Drosophila melanogaster: one gene and its partners. The protein of the gene in region 3 purifies or fractionates together with the protein of the main gene of each other region. This does not show direct contact. Each region holds a gene or a part of one and is shown on either strand. Other genes may lie near its edges. The genes, in order: Mbs, Patj, crb and Ciao1.

Region 1 (5,667 bases), on a different chromosome or scaffold from region 3:
GACTTGTAAGTGCAGGCGATAAGATAATTATTTTAATAAATGCAATCGAAATTCTGATTTGCGGTCGAGCAAAAAACGACAGCGGCAAGTGAAGCAAATAGCCGCAGGTTGCGGCCGCACTTGCACCGCAAACAATGTGGCAGGTAATTCAAAACGTTTGCACTGTTCCCATTGTTATTATTATTTATTATTGTGCTGCTCGGTCGCAGCCGTTGCTGTTGCTGTAATTACAGTGCACTCGCAGACAGTGAAGCCTCCCCGCAATGCCCGCCCGCCTCCCGCCGCCCATTCCGCACTCGGCAAATTAGCATCTGGTTAACAAGTGCGCCATCGCGGTTAAACGGTGAAAATCTACGACTCTTCGCTGGCGCAGCATAATTAGAATCAATTATATCGAATTGGAGCAGAGCGCGCACAGTGAGCGCAAGATGGGTGTGGACAGGCGGCACTCTTGCAAATTGACTCGGGAATTTGTTTGGGGAAACCATTTTGGCCTTTTCTATATTTGATTTTCAAAATTACACTGTGGTTTGTTGATGAAACAGATTTAATTTGTTGTTCTATTATAGCTAATGCCAAATTAAATTTGAGAGTACAGTGAGCGCAAGATGGGAGTGGACTAAGAAATTTGTATATTAATTCCATGGGAATTAATTAATTCTAATAAATAACTTTAAAACAGTACCACAAAATATTTCTGTATTCTTGATACTATTTTAACTATTTTTTAAAGGTTAAATAAACTCTCCATTAAATAGTTATCAAATGATAAACCGCAAATCGCAAATCTTTATTTGTTCTTCCTATTATTTTGTATTAATTAAATAGTCCTTGTCTTAATCTACAATATTATCATGTGCATAACAATAGAACGAATTTCCATGATAGGTACGGAAAATTTAAGCTTTTTATTTCATTTTCGTGCCGGCAAAGTATCATTAAATTCCTATTCTTCGACATGCCACAAAATCGAGTCAAGCAAATTGGAGGAAAACTGAAAATGATTTTGCGAAAATCTTTGGGCTTTCAATATGTAAACGCGCTTTCGTGTGTATGGGTTTTGTATGTTTTTCTTGGGTGTTTAAAAATAGAACATTTTGTATTTTTCTTATTTAATGCTTTTGGCCGTTTGCCTTTTGCTTGTGGCTGTTGTTGTTGGCTATGCCGTTCTGGCCATTCGACTTGTAAATCGTCGGCTTGCATTAGCCATGTATTTGCTGTATTTGTTAATATTCGAAATTCGAATTATTGTTGCGGCGGCGAAAGAGCACGAAATACCCAACAACAATAATGGTCGAGCGTCTAGCGAACGGCGCTGCACAGTGGGTCTAAACAGGATGGATCATTCTTGACCTTGATTGAATATCCTATAAAAATTCCTAAATAATAACGTCAATGTGTCATAATGCTGTGTTCTTTATCTTCTTCGATGGAAAATCTTGTAAAATTAATCAATTTAGTAATTTGTTCTTTATATTTTAATTTGTTGTTTTACTTTAAACGCTCTTAAGTTAAATGAAGTATACATAAAAATTAAATGGTTAATCCTTACGAAACAATAAGGTAATACTTTTCGTTTGCTGCTAGATATTCTTGTAGCATTTTAATAATTTGATCCCATGACCCCATGGAATTCGACCCACAGTGCGATTCACGTCAGCACCACAGTTGGACGCAACGCAACAGTGTCGAAACTGCAGCTCCCTGCGCCCGTTCCACCCCAACCCCGCCCCCAATTCACCCACCACCCCCTCGCCCAGTCGCGTGATCGCAGTTGCAGCAGACTGACGCAACGCCTAGCCGCCTTCTAAAGTGGGAAATCAATCCCTGGTGATAGGGGATGCAGTGTGAATATTCACATTTAATTAACTGGAAATTGCACCTGCTGCAAATGCAACCCTTGATAGAATTGCTAATACTCGCCACTTCTACCCAAACAAGAAAATAATGTCTGTTTGCAAACGATTACTTAAGTGGGAATTATCAATACCTACTAAAAGACTGTTGTCTTTTTCTTTTCTTCTAGCGAATGTTTTATGTTTTCTATCTGTGTACTATATCTTTAAAGATAGCTTTAAAATATATTTTATTTTATTGTATGTTCTTTAATTTAAATTTATTTACAAATTGACTAGTTGAGCAAAGTATAACCATTCAAACGTTACATTTTCTACCACCCAATAAGGACTATTCCTAAGTGTGAAAGAATGATGATTACTGGCAGACTTACCTGGTGCAGGGCGGTGAGTCCATCGACGTTGGCGGTGTTGATGTCGGCGCCCTGGTCGAGCAGCTGGACGACCTCGTCCTTGTCGCCGGAAAGGCAGGCGGCGAGGAAGACACAGCCGGAGCTGAACTTGATCCTGCGGCCGTGCTCGTGCCGGGGGGTGGGGGCGGCGCGGTTTGTGTCCGACTCCTCCCAGCGCTTCAGCTGCTCGGCGCGCTTCATCATCGCCGAGTTGTTGCGTGCGTCCAGCGAGGACATCTTGGCAGATCCTTCTTGGCCAGACGAACGATCTGCTCCTTCAGATAATCCTGCTACTTGCTGCAGAGCACGCGCTCTGTGAGATCGCTCGACTGCTCCAGATGTGTGTAGATTTTGTATGTAGCGCTGTTGTATCGCTATTGCTCTATCGTAATTGCTTTATTGCGCTTTTGTTTGCAATGGGAATTGGGTTTTGATTTTGCACTATTTATAGAAAATGCTTCACACTTTCGATTTTCGATCACGACTACACTTTTGCTGTTTGTACTGCTGCTGCTGCTGCTTCTTCTTTTCCTGCTTGCTGATTATTATTATTTTACGATTTTTCTATTTTCTTTGCGTGTGTGTGCGCGTGCGTGCGTGCGTGTGCGTTTGCTTTATCAGCCAACTTCTTGGCGTTTTCTTCTCCGCTCACTCACACAATGTCGCAATCAGGAACGCTCTCTCTCTCTCACACTCGCTCTCCCGCAAAACAATGCTATTTGTTGTTGTTTAACGCGCACCTTTGTTGTTGCATTCAATGGAAATTACACAAGAGGATGGGGCAAAAACTAAGAAATACGATAGGAGAAATTAATATTTTGCAAATGCTTTATTTAGAGCCACCAGCTGCTGGGCTACATAGTGTTAAGCAAACACATTTTCATATCAATTAAAAACACTTGCGGGCATTTTAGCAGCCGCTTGTTTTTTTTACACTTTGTTTATCATTCTCCCTTTCGCGCTCTCTCTCTCTCTCTGCCGCTCACACACACTCATGCAGTTAGGGCTTGCATACGGAGAGCGCGAATGGCTGAGCCTGCATGTGTGTGTGTTACCAATTTGACATAAATTCAACAGCCGCGACGCTGACGTCGCGAGTAAATAGAACAAAAATGGAAACCGCGTATTTTTTCACGCACTGAAATGCGATGATTTTATGTAATTTGGCAGGATGGCGGTATTGCACAAAATCCTTGCAAATGCGAGTGCACTTATGTAAAGGCATTTTTACATCGCCCCACATTTTACATTCCACTCCACACTCACACACACATTCACTCGCCTCGCACACAGACGCAACACATACACACGTATGCCGCACACGCACGTAGAGAAAAATGGATTGCAGTAGAAACTTTTCACACACACCGAAAGACCAAGCGAAAAACGCACCTTTCCCGCGAAATTCCCAGAACTTTCAGTGCTCTCTGGGCTTTAATGGCTGCAGGACTCTCCGCTGAAGCGCTCCTCGTCCGCGAGGCACTGGTATTTCACTTTATTTTGCATATTTTCGGTGGCGTTCAAATCGAATTTCATCCGCACGAAGTTCACAGACCAAAATTTTTTGACGATGTGAATCGGAGGGCAATGCGCGGTATATTTAGCACTCTTTTCGCCTGGTCACACTAACGCCGCTCACAAAATTGTAGATGGCGTCTTAGTTATGTTAACACTTAGCAGTGCTGTTATGGACCGATATTTTTAACGATGTTAATTAAACTATCAATATTATTTTAGGGTATTCGTAATTGTTCGTCTTATTACTCCATTCGGGAGAAATGCGTTCTTTTTGCATCCAATTCTTTACATTTAGTTCAAAAATAGATGCGGCCATATCTATCGATATATTTGATGTGCCTCAAAAACACATACAATGCAATTTTCAAACAACTTTTTAAATATATTAATACCGTTTCTAATTTTATCTATATAAAACACAAAAAGGAAAAAGAGGATACAACAGAATCAATTTACTTTCAAACTCAAAAAATGCTGTTTTTGGTCAACTTCTCTAATTGTGGCTTCCCTCAATTGTTTGTATTTATTCCTGGTTTGATACTAAGAATTCTCGAAAGTTTATTAAACCGAAACAACAAACAATTGATGTTAAAATAAATTTCCAAACTGATCAAAGTATTTTGTTTTTACTGGGAGTTCTCGGTATGCCGAAGGTTCTTCTGTTTGTTCCACTAATTTTTTTGTCAAATCAAGACAAAATGTTAGGGGCTCTAATTCTGATGAATCGAAATAAGCTCAGTTTTCGCGGTGTTACTGGACCGGGTAACAGACCCTTGTTCTATAAGTGGCTCAATTTTGTATATGTGTTATACCTGAACTACCGTTTCGATTTCCAAACCGTTTTATTCGATAAATGTTGGTTGAAAACGCTGCTGACGGCCTAGCGTAGACTTGATCCCACTGATGCATCTTATCGATATCTTTTTAGCGCGTATCGATACATCAGCGAGCCAAGCACCTTGAACAGTGTGACCCCATTTAGCATTTATTTAAAACTACGACTTCGTGTGCTGACAGTTGTTTGTTTTTGAAATTTTAATATATTCAGAAATATAAATAGCTTGCAAAATAGTTATTAATTAAACTTAAAAAAGTTTTAAAAAAAACATTCCAGTTTAGAGACGCACAGCTGGAATAGCCAACGAAAGTGCGGACATCCCACCCCCAAAAATAATTGCGCATCGCTTGGGCGGCAAAAAACTATTTCGACCGTTCCGCCCCGCTAGTTCTCTCTCTTTCCCCCGCCAGCACCCTCTCGCTCACTAGAAAGCCAAGCAAAACAAAACAAAACGAGAACGCAGAACCGACAAAACAAATACCTATAGGAAAGTGAGCTATATAGGCACATAGCTTTGGCGTAGTCGTTGCACGGCATTCAAACCCACCAGTCGACGTGAGCACAGTTGTGTAAACATTTTATACAGCAAAACTTATTTTAAGTGATTTTATAATCTTATCGTGGTGCGATAAGAGGTGAACGAAAACAATTAACGATTTGGTGGCCGAAAAAAGGCATTAAAAAAACCAATGATAAACTGATACGTTATCACTGTTTAAAATGTCTCTGGTAAGTAAATATAAATATGTGTGTTCAATCTTCCCGCGGTTTATAGAAAAAACAAAATGGGTTTACTTTACTATACTTGAATTATGCTGCATACAAATAGGCGCCGCCTGTCTACCTTTCTCTCTCCAACACGCCTTTTTTCATTCATGTCCTTACCCCCACATAAACAGGGACACGACCATTATCCCTCCCTCTCTCACTCTCTCTCTCTCCCCCTTTCTCCCTATCTCGCTCTCCGCTCTCTGGCGTTTTCTAGTGATTTCTAAAACAATCTGGAGGCCGAGATACACATGTACATACATACTTAGGCATATGTCAGGATCCCGTCTTATCT
Region 2 (6,924 bases), on a different chromosome or scaffold from region 3:
ACGAAGTTGGTGAGGTCGTGCCTCTGGGCCAGATAGTGCAGCAGCAGTTCGTCCGGGATGTTGAAGCCGATCTTCTTGTTCCGGAACTCGAAGTTGTAGATCCCGAAGGCGGCGCGCACTGTGGAGCGGGATTTGTTAGACATATTTCATTTTTGGCGACCAAATCGCTTGGGGGCTCCGTGATTTGAGCCACCTCCCCCTCTCCGACCAGACCAGTGCTTACCCACGTTCTTTAGGTCCCATATGTTTAGGTCGCGGTTCTCCTGCGGCACCCCGATCATCAGCAGCTTCTTCGTGTCGCGAAACTGAAACGGAATTATGATTCCCGATCGCAGCACCATTTTCAAAGCGCCCACACACGCGATTTATAAAAATTTTCACAAATTTCTCAAGTCCGCTTTGTGCTTGTCCTCCGTAATTGTTTTGGTCTCCGTTTATTGTCGTTCGTAAACAGCGAACTAGTTTCGAGCTCCCCGAAGTCTGGCCACACATCTGCAGTTCCGCGAATCGGAGCGGAATACGCGGCTTATAAGATTTCCTCGAAAAATATTATTTTCTCCCTTAATTTAACGCTTTATCTAAATTACGAAATCTATGCATGTGCAAATTCAATTTTTTTTTAATATATAATCTTAAATGCCAAGCAAGAACTAGTTCCAAAGACGGCTGAACAAAAATAAAAACTCTCGCCTGGTCACACAGTAAAGCTGATTTCATAGGGGGAAAAGCAAAGCAATAGGATTTCGAGTAATCCCGTCCATATGTATTGGAGTTATCCACCTACTGAGCATGCATAGGTTCTTCCAGGTTGTTTCCAGCACTTGATCCGATACAAGAGTTAGCTGCCCGCCTTCACAATGCTCGAGAACTGTCAGCGTCACCACATGCTCCTTGGACTAGGAGCCCTAACGATGGTCACCATACTCGTCCTGTTCGTGGAATCTCGTTACGCGGCAGATGGTCCTCGTCGCCGAGAGCCGCAATTCGTGATCGAGGACAACTCGACCTGCTGGCGGAATGAGAAGTACACGATGGTGCAGGAGTGCCACCCGTGCTCCGAATTCGATATAGTCAGCCGGAGCTTGGGCGTCTGCATTCACACGCACTACAAGGAGGTGCTGCGCTGCCAGAGCGGCGAGATCGTAACCAGGAGCTGCGACCGGGTGGCGCTCATCGAGCAAATGAACTTCTTGAAATTTGAGGTCTCGTGCTTTGTAATCGGATTACTTAGCTACCTGGTCAGTTATGCCCGCGATCGAGTCCTGTCCAGGCGCAACTACATGAGAATCGAGCGACAGCTAAACCGGGTCCAATAGCCCTCCGCCAAATCATCGATTCCCTTCCCCAAGTGATACTCATTGACCGTACGGAAGGTACATTATTTAATTTAGTTTAAGTACATACACTCTGGAAATACCATGTTAAAATTCATTTGCTAATACTAGGGGGTTTAATATATTGCATACTTGTGGAATGCTTGTTTTCAGGGGACAAACACAATTCGGCGTTAATAATATGCATAACATTTTGCTTCGGTAATAACAATCGCTCCTGTACTTCTGGCATCGTTTCTGACATCGTTTCAGATTCTACTGCCTGTTGTTCATATTCGTAGAAAATATCGATTAACTAATCCATTAGTTAGCAACCGCGTTTGATTTGATTTAAAACAGGCTTAAAGATTCAAATGCCTGGAATGTGTGAAATTCTTCGTTATCGTAACACCCTAGTTCCGCCAGTCGGGAATCAGGTCGGGCTCAGCTCCCATGGAGGCACTAGGCGGCATGGCGGGCGGAGCAACTGTGGGCAAGGCTGGAGGCGATGGCTGGGCGTCCAAGGTCTCTTCGCTGGTGGTGCTCGCATTGCTGCAAGCCTTCAGTGAGTTGTCCGTCATGGGCAGTGGTTTGGCCACACCAATGCGCACCACTCCTTTCGAAGCACCCTTCAAAGCCTGCACTGCCTGATCCAGCGAGGCGTTCTCCAGGTTAATGGAGTTCACAAACAAAAGTCGATCTCCGGGTATAAGGCGTCCGTCCAATTGAGCCACCCCTCCAGGGACCAGAGAACGGATTACAATCAGCGTATCGTTGGGATCCAACGGATCTTGATAATCCAGAATAGAGAAGCCCAGACCGCGATCGCCCTTGACCAGCTCGATAATTTGCGGTTGGGACGACCACATAGCCAATCCGGTTAGTGGCTCCAGGGAGCGCGACTTCAGCTTACTAAACGAAGCAGCGGCGGCAGCCACTGAATCTCCATCGGCCACGGAGCCCGCGGTGGCCAGACTACCATCTGATTTGGCCTTCACCAGACGATCGGTAGCAGGCAGCAGGTTCTCAAAGTTGTTGCTTAGCTTTTTCAGGGTGTCATCAGAGAATGGGAGAAGCGAGCTGTTCCTGTTGCGACCGCAAACCATGCGCACATCCAACGGCAGTTCCTTAAGTATAGCCACCACCTCCAGGTGGTTCATACCCAGCAACCGCTCGCCGTTTACCTCCAGCAATTCATCGCCAGAGCGGAGTACTCCATTCACGCCAACGGGTCCATCAGGTAAGATTGAACGAATATAGTGATGGGGTCGTACCTCGCGCCCTCCTTCTACGTCCACGGTTCCCTCCAAGGAAATCCCCAAGCCTCCGACCGCGAACTTCTTGATCTGGGCCACAATCACCTCCACATCGGAGCCCACAATCTTCTGCCATTTGCGAATAATTTCGGTTTCGGCGTCGTCGGACAGTTCCGGATCGGTGTAGTACTTGTGACGGGTGATCACCCCGCTGTTCTTGGCCTAAAACATGTTAATGCGCTATACGTTTTGCTGCTGTGTTACCCGTTAGCTAATACTCACCTCCGTTTTATCCGCCAAGGGTACAACTTCCGTGGGTATGATCTTCGTGGAGCCGTCTAGGGAGTCCCTTACTGCTACTAGTTGCTTACCCGCTCCAAAGGAGCTTAATGTGGTGGTGGTCATTGTGGTGACCGACGGCGGAGTGGTCATGAATGCTTCTGGCGCTGGTAAGGCTTCCTCTTCCAACTCGCGAGTGATGCTGCGTGATGGTGTAGTTGTGGCGGAGGACGTTGTGGCCACGGGCGTGGGCATGGGAGCCCTTGAAGGCGTTCCAGGTGCACTGGATGGAAGCTTGTCATTCGCAGCGATAGCCTGCTGCAGCTGCTCGAATTTGGGGCCCCTCAGGTAGCGTTCCAAGCGCAGGTTCACCACCTGACCAGACTTCTTAAGCAGCTCTACGGCCTGGTGGTTGGAGTAGCCTTGTAGCGACTGGCCGTCAACTTCAATGATGCGATCGTTGACCCGGATGCGACCACTCAGGTCCGCTGCTGAACCGGGCGACACGCTCTTTACGAAAATGCCAGACAGCTCTTCTTTCTCACACACATAGCCGGCAATTGTGATGCCCAGGCCGTTGGCATCCTTCTTCAGCTCCACCTGAAGCTTCTCCGTTTCAGGAAGGGCAAGCAATTCCTCTAGGTCGATGTTTGGATCAATAAGCATTGATGTCTCGCCGCGATAAACGAAACGATCGTCTTCCGTGGTGGTCTGCGGAGTGGAGGCCGTGGAGCTCTCGCCAAAGATTTCCGGATAGCCGGTAGATATGAGGTACCGCTCCAGCTCGGCAGGATCGACGAGGACGCGCGTGGGCACCACAGCAGTGCCCGGTTCCAGGGCGTACTGGGGCGTAGGCACGCTCTGCTCAACGGGACGGGCAACCACTAGGCGGACGTGGGTTCCAGACTGTCTCAGCACGGCAGCCACCTGTTCGGATACCATTTCGTGCAGGTTGACGTCTCCAATCTGGAGGATGTGGTCGCCCGAGCGCAAGCGTCCGTCCTTATCGGCCACGCCACCCGGCAGGATGGTTTTTACAATCACTCCCGAGTTGCGAGCTCCAATAATACCGAATCCGAGACCCGTGCCGTCGTTGACCAGCTCTATGGCCTGGATCTGAGCGTAGTCCGTGGCGTAGAGATCCGCCACTCCGGCTCCTTTGGAGTTCTGGCTCTGCGGGCGCGGCTCCTCGCCGACGCCTCCGGACTTATCTGGACTGCCCGGAGCCGAATGGGAGTGCGAGGAAGAGCGCTGTTCGTCAAAGTCGTACATCACCTCGCCACCATTCAGACTGAGTACAAGGTTGCCGGCCACATCGATGTCGAAGTCGTTGGGCAACATGGACGGATGCTGAGCCAGCTGGGCGTTCAGCTCGGACAACGAGTCCTGCACGTGGACGATGGTGCGGAAAACGGGATCCTGCAGAATGCCCAGAATGGTGCTAAGGCTCTCGGCCGTCTGCATTTGCAGCTTGGGGTCGTCGGACTCATCGATGCCCTTCTTCACTGCCTCGATCTGCTGAAGGGCGCTGGAAATATCCGCGCTGAGGTGCATCTTGCGTCAGTGGGCGTGGTCAGCGAGCGGTGCGCGGTGCGGTCAGTGGAGCGTGGTCCCCGTCTCTATCCCACTTCCGCTGGCGTTTCTATGGACTTCTGGGTGGGGGCGTTGTGGCGTTGGCACACTTTGTCCTAAACTGCAAAACGGGTAATTCGATTTGGGCTCTAAGTGGGACAGCTTCGGATCAGTTACTGTGCCGTTTGGATGCAGCGAGTTGTTTACCCTCTCCTATGCACTCTTTTCGGTGGCCACTTGCTCTGCTGCTGCTGCTGTAATTGATTTTTAATTATCTCTGAAATGGAATGCCAAATGCATTTTCTTTTCACAAACAGCTGATGGACAGGGTTGCCGAGCGGCTGCGTTGTGCATCGATAAGCAATCGACATAATCGGAACAGTTGCCACCTTTTCAAAATCAATTCAAATTCGACCGTTACATCTGCTAATTTAATTAAATCTAAGATTTTTGAATATAGTCTGCATGTGCTCGTATGTAATATGGCTATACGAAATAACCCAACAACATCTATCCTTTTAAACGCAAATTTTGAATTTAATTTCTCTGTACGCACAAATATCTGTGTTCCAAATACGGAAAAACAATAAGGTGTCTGCCATCAAACCATGTTACGTTCCTCCTCCTCCTCCAATTCTATTTCGAGCTTGCGGAATTCGCGGAAGAATTCGCGAGTGATATGCTTCATATGTGGAGTCAAGTACTTGGGAAAGATATCTGCAGAAGAAACAGAGAAACTATCAGAAACTATTGAAACCTCCAACAGAAAAGGAAAACCCACAATCAAATTCTATAATGAGATCCCCGAACTGCTCCACCTTCTTGTTGGCCTCCTTGATGGCCGTAACTGCATCCAAATTGCGGCACTTGGGGAGTCCCTCGAGGGGAACCACTTTGGTGTATCCCGGCTGCACTACGTCCGTAATGACCACCTTCAACTGGCGCCGGTCCAGCGTGCAAATGAAGAACGTGAAGCCGGTGAAGGCCTGGCACAGGCCAATAGACTGCCTGTAGACCAGGTCGTGTTGGTTTCTCCTCTCAAAGTCCGGATGCGGCTTGTCGGCGGCAATGAAAATAATATCACCCGGAATGGTGGCCGGATAGCGATCGCCCTCCTCCTTGAAGCAGAAGCGAGTTCCGGCCGTAGTTCCCGGGGCAATGTTCAGCTTTAAGGTGTGCTTGCGCTTCTCCAGCCGCGACTCCTTGGCGTCCACGATCTCCTGGCGCCACACGTTCATCAGCTTGACGCAGCCAGTGCGTACTTCCTCCAGCGACAGCTCGATGATCCTCTCCGTACTGGCGTCCTTGGAACGCACGCCAATGCCATGCTGGCGCGTAGCGTACAAGCTCGGTGGATTGGAGATCGCATCGATCACGTTGGCATACGGCGAGTAGCTACCGAAGACCCGCTCGTAGACCTTCATGTGGTCGCCGTCGTACTGATAGGGCGGAAAGTATCCGTTCGGCAGCATGACGCCCTCGAACAAACCCGCCTCGCCAAAGCGATCGTATATGGCCCGGTACAGATCGTTGCCCAGCACATCGAAGGCCATGTTGACGTAGGCCCACTGCCTGGGCTCGCCCATGGGTGAGAGGTGCGTGAGACGACCCTCCTGGGCCAGCGGCACAAAGTCCTGCTCGTCCTTCTTGTCGCGATGTGGGCAAAGCCGAATGGCCAGGCGGCGGTAGGCCAGAGTAATCTGCTCCTTGGTGGCGCCTCTGGGCTGATCCAGCACCGCGTAGTAGTCCAGCTCCGGCCGGTTCATTGTTTCTATTCGGAGTCGAAGCGTATAACAACTGGCAGAAGTGTTCACAGAATGTTTGACGTGTGACTGAGAATTTATTCAAATTATATACAATAACTCAACTGACGCAGGATCTGGCTATGGATGAAATATGCTTGTGGACAAATACATTAAGATTAGAGCTATGGTGTAGATGGAAACGTGGCGGCGATCAGTCAACGTCCTCGGTGCTGACGCCAGTGTAGATGGGCTCCTCCTTGGCTGCACTCTCTGATTTGGCATCGTCGGTCTTCTCCTCGCCACCGGCGACGTCATCCGAGTCATCTTCCTCCTTCTTGTCACCCTCCAAGTCAGCGGCATTGGGCACCCAGAGACCAGAGTCCACACAACGCTTCATGTGCAGCTTGGCGACGTCCACGGGCATGGCCGCAATGGTCTTCTGCAGCAGCTCTACGTCGCGGGACTCGAAACAGGCCTTTAGTTCCTGCGGAGCAAATACATGAAAAGTTAGTCAAGTAATTCCCATACAGTGAATCACTAGAACGTACATCGGGCAGGGATTCAAAGACATCGGCTGGGTCCAGACCACCAGGTCCGAGGCGCTCCTTGCGCTCCTCCTCTTCGGCCTGGGCTATCGCCTCCTGGATCTTCTCCTGCGCACGCTTCTGGATACGTCCTTTGAAACCTTCGATCTCGCTGTCGAACTGCGCGCGGTACTCGGGATGACAGTGCTGGATCTTTGAGAAGAAGGAGCTGACA
Region 3 (5,952 bases):
TACGTGATCACCGCGATAAAGACAATCCAACGGACAGCATTGAACAACGCCCACAACTTTTAAACATTTGTTTGCATCGAATAAATTTTTGGAATTAATATCGTGTAAAAGCGAAAGCTGCCACTGTCTTTTCAGTTTAGTATAATATTTTCCCCACTATGTCATATTGTTTCTCACATTTGTGGTTTTTGTGCATCGGTAATTTCCCAAGGTGGCTGGCTAATCGATGCAGTCGCAGAAAACGTGGAACATTGCAAGGAGAAACTAGACAGAACTAAGCAGTTGTCTCGACTTAAAGTTACCTAATTACAACTTTCTATGCTTAGTCCAAAATCATACCAAGAGTCCACATCCCAATTATTTCGGCTATAACCAAAATTGGTCCTGAAATGTGCGCCCTGCATTCTCAGTATTGCATTCAATTCCACTTCCGCCACAATTCCCCACTCCCCACTAAGTACTGGGTAGTAAAGTACGCCCTAACCTTTAAAGGACTGGGGCAAATCAGTTCTTTTTCAGTTATACTCTGGCTATTTTTATAGACCTGGCTAACGACTTGCACTAATGGCCAACGTCAGGCAATGGTCGCGGCCGGCTGCGTAGGCCCACGGAACATGGCCCACGACCCGCGTCACGGCCGATTGCACTTTAACACTTGACCAGGTTGAAACACCGGACACCGGAGAGCGGAGAACGCGGGTGTGTCCAGCGTACAATTTCCATTCCATTCTCGATTTTCATTTATGTACGTGCCAGAGAATTTCCATAAACTCGCGGGGTCACGTGTTGTTATCGTTAACGCAATGCAGGTAGTTTCGGTTCATTTGTGTTTTCCCTCCACTTTTCCAGCGTGCCTAGTATACCTGTGCCGCGATTTTTCCCCTGAAAATGATGGATTATATCTGTTTAGGGCGGAAATTCAAACGAAAGCCGTACAGAAACCACTCTCGAAGTGAAGATGACGCTGATGATCTTCGCTGTCGGTGTCTGGATTTTACGATGGAAGCTGCCATAAACCAGTTGCTGTGATGCCTTTCAGGGATTTCCCAGCCCAGACATTCATTTTCTCTTCTTTTTATTCGTCGGTTTTCCTTGTCAATCATAAACCAAAGTCATTTGATAAATTCTACGATAAAAGGTATACGAAAATACAGGGCCTATAGAGAGGTTGGTTCTTTACAATTAAAAGAAAATGTGTTCATGGAAATGAATGAATTATAGCTCTTTATTAGGGCTTTTCACTCGTTTGGATTTTTTTTAATTATTAAGCTGAAAATTTGTTTACTATTAGCTTCAAGAGCTGATAAACTGGTTTACTATGTTTTCGCTGCACTCCAGGGCTTTCCCTACTTCGAGTTGGAAAACTCTTTCTCTATCTGTGCTCCCTTCTCCTGAGTGTTCTTCTTATCAACCTATCAACGGAATTGCGGTATTGCTGACGTTGAGTTGGCCGCGCTTTTGCAACTGTTGTACTTCACTTTCCGGCCAAAAGATAAGATTGCGCGTAACAACAGCCGGATGGCTGGCCGTTTGGAGGGTTGGTACTCGAATTGTAAATAAATAGACCCAATTTTTGAGGTCGTTTTTGCACAATCCGTTGGAAAAAGGGGGCAGACAATGCTAAGCCAGCCAAACAATTGAGCCGCGGACAACATGTAACAGAAAATTACACATAATGAGTCAGCAAGAGTTGTGAATCAATTATTATGATCGTTATGCGATAAGTTTCACAGATTTCACTGTTGTGATATCGCTAAAAGCGCTTTGAAAATGCAGACAAATGAGGTTTTATTACCAAAAAATCGCACCAGTATCAACAAATGCAGAAACAATAATTTGTTACGATTCCCTGTTATTTACCTAAAAATATGATATCCATTTGTAAGCTACAGTGTGTAAAAAATGCGGGTCACGTTAAAATATCTCTTCTGGTTTCAGTAATTAATTCTTCTTGGCCAAGATTGCTAACATTAACCGCCTTTGAAGCTATAATTTGATTAATTATCTCTCTCAGCGACTAAAGTTGTACTCTACTAAATATAAATTTATACGCAATCGAAGCTAATACATTTCTAAGCATTCCTTTTGTTTGCAAGATAAGACCGAGCACACAATCATCAAAAATTAGAAATGAGTGTATAATTAACACAATCAAACTTCAGGTAAGCCAGCTCCATGAGTCACTTCTTGAAGGAAAACCCGTTGAACGAGTTTTTCGTAGGCCCGAAATCATTGAAAATCCAAATTCCTTTTACCCAACATGACTTGGTCAACATCCCCAAAACACACGAATGCCCCACCACACACACACATGACCTGTTGCTCTTTTTTTTCGATTACGAGCTTTTGAAACATCAGCAAATGTTTAAGCTAAAGAATGCATGTGGCTCATCATATAAATTATTTACAGTGTGACTTCCGTAACTCAATCTCATTAACTCATTAATCATATGAGCAGCCAAAGGCTTAAACACAATAACAACATTACAAATTCCATTTAAAATGGGCATCTAATATACATTTTAATAATTTATAACGGGCAAGTTCAGTGCTGTGGAGTGATCACTGTAGCTTAAGAACCGCGTAAACACCGTGTTGCTCTCTCATGTCCCCATCTTCGCTCTCTCCTCCTGAATGTCCTCGACTGCCTATCGCCCTCCCTCTCACTCACTCGCTAGCTCCCTCTCAGGGTTCTCTCTCACCTGTTGCTAAGTAAATAAGTATGAAGAGCGGTATCCATTGAGGCGACGAATAAACTGAAATGGCGCGCTTGAGCAAATGCGACGTAATTTGAGCTGCGCTTTTCGTGCGGTCTCGACTTCTTGCTGTTGTTGTTGCTGTTTCTACTGATGCCGCCACTGTTGTTGTTGTGGTCGTTGCTGTTTCTGCTTGCCGCTGTTTTTGTTGTTGCGACAGTGACGCATTGGCGATTTTAGCCATGATCGCTGATTTGTTGGCTCAAGTCGAGTTTTCGTATTGGAAAGGGTTGCTTTTGGCTAGATATTATTGCTATTCAAACGATACTCATTGAGCTTGTTGTTGTTGGTAATTGCATTCTCCCTTCTCTCTGCTCCACGCAAACACTCATACGCACACACACACACGCGCGCAATCGGCACTTGGCTTAGAACAGGTTATTTTTATTTTTTTTAAGTTATATTCCTCTTTTTCTGCTAGTTGTATTATTTGCAAACTTTCGCACGCGACACTTTCTAGCCTGAATTTGAATATTGAGCACAGAGATTCCACTTTGAGCCAACTAATTTGCCATTTCTTCCCAGGCCACGATTCTGAATCACACCAACACACACACACACATACGAGCGCCGAAGACTTGGCTTAAAAGAGAGGTGCGCTGTTCTTGTTGTTGTCGCTGCCCTTTTGAACTGCAAGCAGCACACACACACGCGCGCGCACACACATTGGCCAAAACGGGGCGAAAAAAACGTTACGAGCGCGAGCAACCAATAAAACGTACGTACGAGCAGCAAGAAAAATGTTCGACCGTTTGAATCGGCGATATCCGTTTCGTGGGCTTATATATGGTGCAGTGTGACCAGTCCGCTTGGCTAGGTTTGGCTGGATTTTGATATAGAGTCAACATGCATGGCCACACTGATATTCAAGTTGCACAGTGGTACAATATGTACAAAAAAAATATTTTGTTCTTGAATTGATTTCGCACAAGAATTAAACCGTTAATTACATTTTCATAAAACTTTACTGATATAACTATTCAATATATCAATTAATATCGTGTGTATGTCTAGGTGACATTCCAAAATACACGAGCATAGTAAAGTTTAATTTATGGCGGGAACATGAAAACGTAAACTTCACTTAAATTACCAACGGCAGTTATGGGTTTTGTAAGTTGTGACCTACATCATCATAATCCAAATAGAATAAACCTTTTATAATACCGCAAATCTTAACTTGCGAAAATTCCGCACTGCACATATTTTCAAGTCGGAATGCATAAAAGTAAATTCCCCATAAATCAAGAAGCCGGCGGATAGCAACTACGTACTTAATGTAAATGTAAACGGCCACAAAGCGCCGACTTATCGTTTCAAAGAGAACTCAGCATAAACAGGCAGCACCGACAACATGTCGTCAATTTTTGGAGGTCTAGGTGGGACTATATAATGTGGGTAAGCCTGGTTAGAAATCACAGCAGTTGGGGAATTAGCAAAATGGGCAAATCGCAAAATAATACTGGTTCGCTTTTGCTACTGATTATACTGGGCATTTCTCTGGGAGATTCCATGCCCCTGGAGGATATGGACTCCCAGGAAATGATTGACTTGACAGATCTTGGAGATACTCTGTTCGGTAATCCGGACGTGGAGACGACTGGAGCTTTGGTTGAGGCACTCGGTGTGGAATCCCCGCTGAATCCCGAGGAGCTGGGAACCTACCACGAAGGTGACATCCTGATTCCACTGAGCTACAGGGACGCCCGATTCAATGGCACTCGTAATGGCATTTTGGCGCTGAGTTCCCGCTGGCCGGGCGGCGTTGTGCCCTACGAGATCAAAGGTCCTTTTACCAGCCAGGAATTGGGGAATATTAACCACGCTTTTAAGGTGAGGTTTCAGTAATAGTCCCTATTACAATTTACAAATAAGATTTTGTATCTTAGGAATACCACACCAAAACATGCGTGCGCTTCAAGCCCAGGACCACCGAAAAGGATTACATCTCCATTGGTAGCGGAAAGTCTGGCTGCTGGAGTAGCATTGGGCGCTTAGGTGGTCGCCAGGAAGTGAATCTGCAGTCGCCCAACTGCTTGCGTACATACGGCACTCCCATTCACGAGCTGATGCACGCCCTGGGCTTCTTCCATGAGCAGAATCGTCACGAACGTGACTCCTATGTGCGCGTGATGAAGGACAACATCAAGCCCGAGATGATGGTCAACTTCGAGAAGTCCAGTTCCAGGACACAGTACGGCTTCGGCGTGGAATACGACTATGGCAGTGTGATGCACTACTCCCCCACCAGTTTCACTCGGAATGGCCAGCCCACGTTGAAGGCACTGCGTGCCACATCCGATGCCAGCCAGATGGGTCAACGCAAGGGCTTCTCAGCCGGAGATGTGCGCAAGATCAACGCAATGTACAAGTGCAAGGTGTAGATGACAACTGCAGTCGAAGCATTCGGTAACAGTATTTTGACAAACATAAATATTTATCATCAACAATCAATTGTGTTTACTGAAAAAATATGTCTATGGGTACAATATTTGGTTAGATAATTAACAATCGCCTATGTGCGTCGTGTCTTGTACTGCTCCGGGAACTCTCACGCCATCCCATCCTAGTGGTACGGCAGGTTCTTATTTGTCTCAAAGAAATAGTTGCCCTGCATGTTGAGCTCCTTGCAGATCGTCGAGAATCTTCGGATGGCGTTGTACGTGCCGAGGTTACTTCCATCTTCACAGGGAAACACAAAGCATAACAGAAGATACTATATATACAGCACAGCAAGTGTCCGATTGCATGCATTGGTTGGTTGATTGGTTAGTAATCCGGATCATTCACTCCAGTCAGCGGATGGTTAGTGGGGACGCGCCTTTTGGATGGTGGCCTTACCTGGGCCCGCGAAACCGGCACCCGTCGCATTCAAATCCAGATTCATGTAGAGAGCCATGTTTCCGGTTGATCCGTGCCGAGATCGATTGTTTAAGAAGTCCCGGATATGCTGAACGATCAAATCGATGGCCACTGAAAGGAAAAGAGCGGACAATTAGTTCGCACTCAGTTTGGAAATATCAAATCGTAATGCTGCACCATCGTAAGCATTGCAACTCAATGTGGAACAATGCACTTACCTCGCTGCTCCTCCCGAGCTCCGCCGATCCAAGCGGTCTAGTCTAAGCCCAGGACTTATTCTAGCTCTAGTTAGTGGGATCTATTACCTAAACGCATCTAAGCTGGGCGGCATGTT
Region 4 (4,363 bases), on a different chromosome or scaffold from region 3:
GGTCCAGGTGGACACACCAGAGCCAAACAATGCCCTCAAGAGCTTGACCAGGATATCACTGTTAGCCGACCTGACAATGATGTTGGCCTGGAACGCTGAGGAGGCGGGCAAAATCATTGAGACGTACAAACAGTTCGAGAAGCGTCCGCCAGATTTGATCATGGAGCGAGTGGAGTCTAATCCACACCAGAAGGTACGCATGTTTACATTGCCAGTATCGCCACTGTAATGCAATATCCCAATGTCCATAGCTACTCGCTGCTCTCACCAACATCAAGCCGGTGAACAAGACTGATGCTGCCGCCTTGCTGCACACCTTTGGCAACCTGGGCAACATAATCAATGCCAGCGAGGAGCGACTCTCCCAGGTGATGGGACTGGGTCCCCGGAAGGCCAAGAAGCTGTACAAAACGTTGCAGGAACCGTTCCTCAGCAAATAGCAATCCATATTAGGTGTAATGCATCCCATAATCGTGTATGACACACTTCATCCATCATTTGAATACTTTAATTTTTTATTACGCAGACACTGTACAAAAATTAAGTTCCAGAATTACCCACTTAAATATATCAAACAATAATCCTTATGTTACTCGGTCACTTTCCAAATTTTAATGGTGCCATCATCGCTGCATGATATCAGTTGCCCGGCCACCACAGGATTCCACTGCACCGAGTTTACGTCCTGATCGTGAGCGCCTTCCTCCGCGGTTATCTGCTCGAACGTGGGTTCGTCTGGCTTGGAGTCGCTGCTCTCCTTAAAGATACGAATGCCGTCGTCGCCACAGGCAGTCGCTATCAGACCTGTAAGCTTGCACCAGGACACGTCGTAGATAGCCCGCGAGTGCTGCCCGGACACTGTGCACACGCACTTCCACACGGTTTGCTGGTCGGGCGTAGCCACTCCGGCTGTATTTCCGGGATGGTAGGCCCTCCAAATCTTTATTGTGGTGTCATCGCTACAGGAAACCAGGCGCTCGCCATCAGCATCGAAGTCAATGCCCCAAACCGTGCTTGTGTGTGAAGTAAGAGTGGCTGTGCAATCCCAGTCGTTGTCTATGGGCTCCTCTGCGAACATTTTTATGGTATTGTCGTACGAGGCGGAGGCCAAAATGTCCTTGGTTGGATGCCACACCACTCTCTTCACGTCCTGTGTGTGCGGGTTCAAAACGGCGGCGCACTCGAACTCATCATCGCCGGCAACCTCCCAGATCCACACGGACTTGTCCCGCGAACAGGTGGCCAGTAGTCCGCCGGATCGCGACCAGCTAACGCTCTTCACCTCGTTTTCGTGACCCTCCAATGTTGCGTTGCATTCGAATTCTCCCGAGGATTTCGACCAGATCGCCGTGGTGGCATCAAAGCTGGCCGAGGCCAAGTACTGACCGCATGGAGACCATCGGATCTCGCGAATAGTGCGCTTGTGGCCATCGGATAGGATGGTCTTTGTGCTCCAAGTGTTCCCGGTCAGCGACCAAATGCGGATGGCTTTGTCCTCGCCGCACGAGGCGAATACGTTGCCCTTAGGATGCCATGCCACTCCCCAGATGCGCCCCTTGTGGCCCTGCAGCGTGTGTTCCAGAATTAAACGTCCCATTGATGGTCAAGTGCTGTATTAGTGGACAAATCACTGTCTGTCCAAATAATGATAACATAAGCGCATGTCGCAAGAAGAAGAAAGTCAGCTGTCGTCAGTGTGGTCAAACGTCGGCAGAAGTCGTTCATCTAGCTTAATTTGTAAATCGGGATAAAATTAAATTTTAAAATTGTGTTCTTCATATCTAAGCAAAGCGATATTGCTTTGCAATAATAAAAAAATGCAATAAATTTGAAAATTCATATATTATAAATTATAAATTAATTTGATCAGGAAACTTATTACAGTTCAATACTTAGTAACTCAACTAAAAGCAATTTCAATTGGCAATTCGGATAAAAAAAGTCGAACGTATACTAGGCTTTTAATATATAATTCTGGCTTGAAAAGCGTTGAATTGCTCAGAGCTGAATCGCTCTAGTGTTGTTAAATGCTGACTTGAAGTCTTCACCTTTTCTTATCAGAACACACACCGAATTCCGTTACCCAGCACCAGTGACACTGGTGAAAGTTTTGTTGTGTATTTGGTGTTTTGCCAATGCTGATAAGAAAATGAACGGACTGATTGTGTTTAACAGCGCCAACGATGTTGTATACCAGAAGCTTAACGAGCCGCTGGCGCAGAAGATCCGGAGTGTGGCCACCACCCAGGGCCTGCTCCAGTCCGGCGGCTCCCTGGACAGCAACATACTGCTGCAGATTTTCAGCCCCATCGTTGGATCTCAGCGAATAATGCAGTGCCAGTTCGATAATGCCTACTCCAGCCTGCAGTGTGAGCAAGGCTTCAATTTGGTGTTCGGCGAACTTCTTGGCTTCACCTTTCTGAAGATCGGACAAATACCCGTGGAGCTGCTGGGTCGCCAAATGGGTGTGGCCATTACGCTGACGCGCTATTGTTACGGCGCCAATTTGTTTGCCGCCCAGGCGGGGGCCATGCAACAGGAGTTGCTGACGCAGTGCCTCGACTGCTATGAGACTTTGTTGTGGGAGGAGGATCAGACGTACCTGCTGGAGGCCATGCCCAGGCTGCTGATCAACACGGAACTAAAGAGGACAGTGCATCTGACGCTGGACGCCACGCTTGAGCACTTGCGCCAGCTCGGACTGCCCCGAGCCCACGCCCTGTTGCTCGTTTCCAACAAGCTGGTGGCCGCGAACAGCACTCGGCAAGCTCTGCCGCTTGCTGCCGCCGACCTACTCTTCCTCAGCCTCATGTCACGCGCCCTGCAAGCGCCAAAGTCCCCTTCCCAGCGAGCAGTAGCTGTATTCCTGCAGGGTGTCTCCTATGATGTGAACTCTGGCTGCGTTCCCAGTATCGTGCACATCTCGCGTCTCCATGGTAACCAAGTTCTCCTGCAGGTCATCGAGTACGCCCACATGCCACTGACCAGCTGCATCTACGATTCCTTCTTTGTGCTTCAAAAAATCGTGGCTGTTCAGCATCAGGGCGATTCGGATGCCCTGAAGCCCGCCTTCGAGAACCTCGAATCGTTTATTGTGCAGGCCTTGACCGCTTTGAAGCGATATCTGAAACAGCGATCGGAAACCGATGACCTAGAGAACTGCACGAAGAAGTTCGCCGCTAAATGGGAGAATCTTCGCAAGATGTACACTGAGTACTTCAAGAACTTTGAGCGGGAGCTGCTCGTGAGGATTGAGTCGAATTTGCCCTCGTTCGGAGAGGAACTGAAGCAGATATTCACACTGGCCTGCTGCGACAGCTCAAGTGTCCATGAGCTGGATCAACTCTCTGATACGGCAGCGAATGTGGAAGCCAAGCTACTGGAGTTCGCTGAATTTCTGGCCGTTAAGGCCACTCGTAACATATCCATTGATGCTTATTTGGAGGATTTTCCGGGTCTGGTGCACTTTATGTACGTCAATCGCAGCCGAGGACAAATGCTTGCTCCGGATCTGCGACCGAACCAGCTGGTGCCAAAGACAAAACTCTGGAGCATGGTGGAGATCGCGAGAAATTACCTTAAGAAGGGCCAGACCACAGTGATGTGGAAGGATAAGGCATTCCATTACTCGTACTTCCTCTGGTTCGAGGACATGTCTGGTGGCGTTCTTAGTACCGTCGTGGATTTGCAGCACCACTTTCTGTCCACAGGAGCAGCCAGTGGCAACGGTTCGAAATCCCCAACAGAACCAGGTGCTCTTACAATGGACTATTACCACGATCTGGCGGAGTTGTGCTTCCCCAAGCTGTCACCGGCCAAAGTGCGCGTCTACGAGTTGTATTGCATTCATCTGGGACTGGTAACCGCCACATGCGCCGTGGAGCATGCACGTCGCCTGGTGGCCACCATCAGTGATGTTGTGGGCGAGGAAGCGTTTTAAGTGCATTGGCCATTGGTCATTCCAGATTTATAACATGATTTCTAGTCAATTTTCGAGACTCCTAGGCGAGATAATCCACTCGAAATTTTGTTAGGTTTAGGACAACTATCATCCACTGTTATAGGCTACACAACAAGGATATTTGTAAAGTTATTGGAAACATATATATTTTCTTCAACCGGCAATAAAAATGTAACAATAAATGTGTGTTTACTCTGTTTCAGGCTGTTGCGCCTTTTTGAGTTCCTCCAGCTTCTCCAGGAAGAAAGATTTTCGTGCTGTTAGCGGCATGGACTTTTGCCGAATCATATAGTTTTCGTTGCCCAGTGCAGTGTAAACGTCATTTCCAATCAGCTCCCTCAGCGCGATGTTCTTCTTTAGATGTTTGTCGTAAAAGCTAGCTCCAGCTGCCACAAGTTGGGG

The links.
Region 1: the proteins of crb (region 3) and Mbs purify together in Drosophila melanogaster (affinity purification with western blotting, with the first as the bait; one study listed by BioGRID). This does not show direct contact.
Region 2: the proteins of crb (region 3) and Patj purify together in Drosophila melanogaster (affinity purification with western blotting; 7 studies listed by BioGRID, with this or other methods). This does not show direct contact.
Region 4: the proteins of crb (region 3) and Ciao1 purify together in Drosophila melanogaster (affinity purification with western blotting, with the first as the bait; one study listed by BioGRID). This does not show direct contact.

The regions. Positions count from the first base shown.
Region 1 is NT_037436.4:16,050,124-16,055,790, reverse strand, and holds the start of Mbs (myosin binding subunit), read right to left. Parts: upstream 3,833-5,667; 5' UTR 3,617-3,832; intron 3,037-3,616; exon of another isoform or gene 2,787-3,036; 5' UTR 2,486-2,786; coding exon 2,231-2,485; intron 1-2,230.
Region 2 is NT_037436.4:1,796,627-1,803,550, reverse strand, and holds Patj (patj), read right to left. Parts: upstream 4,749-6,924; 5' UTR 4,628-4,748; exon of another isoform or gene 4,598-4,627; intron 4,570-4,597; exon of another isoform or gene 4,542-4,569; 5' UTR 4,403-4,541; coding exon 2,852-4,402; intron 2,792-2,851; coding exon 1,727-2,791; 3' UTR 1,367-1,726; downstream 1-1,366. Other genes in the region: CG42676 (uncharacterized protein), read right to left, coding at 1-118, 224-341; JTBR, read left to right, coding at 858-1,316; CG12020 (uncharacterized protein), read right to left, coding at 5,022-5,137, 5,202-6,186; Cdc37 (cell division cycle 37), read right to left, coding at 6,377-6,649, 6,714-6,924. UniProt on the Drosophila melanogaster protein: Involved in cell polarity establishment. Probably participates in the assembly, positioning and maintenance of adherens junctions via its interaction with the SAC complex.
Region 3 is NT_033777.3:24,292,615-24,298,566, reverse strand, and holds the start of crb (crumbs), read right to left. Parts: upstream 3,490-5,952; 5' UTR 2,941-3,489; coding exon 2,703-2,940; intron 1-2,702. Other genes in the region: CG5715 (uncharacterized protein), read left to right, coding at 4,197-4,589, 4,646-5,140; Uck (Uridine-cytidine kinase), read right to left, coding at 5,323-5,438, 5,598-5,729.
Region 4 is NT_033778.4:14,853,363-14,857,725, forward strand, and holds Ciao1 (Ciao1), read right to left. Parts: upstream 1,687-4,363; 5' UTR 1,598-1,686; coding exon 590-1,597; 3' UTR 501-589; downstream 1-500. Other genes in the region: Ercc1, read left to right, coding at 1-193, 252-440; HPS1 (Hermansky-Pudlak syndrome 1), read left to right, coding at 2,150-3,940; CG33506 (uncharacterized protein), read right to left, coding at 4,151-4,363. UniProt on the Drosophila melanogaster protein: Essential component of the cytosolic iron-sulfur (Fe/S) protein assembly machinery. Required for the maturation of extramitochondrial Fe/S proteins.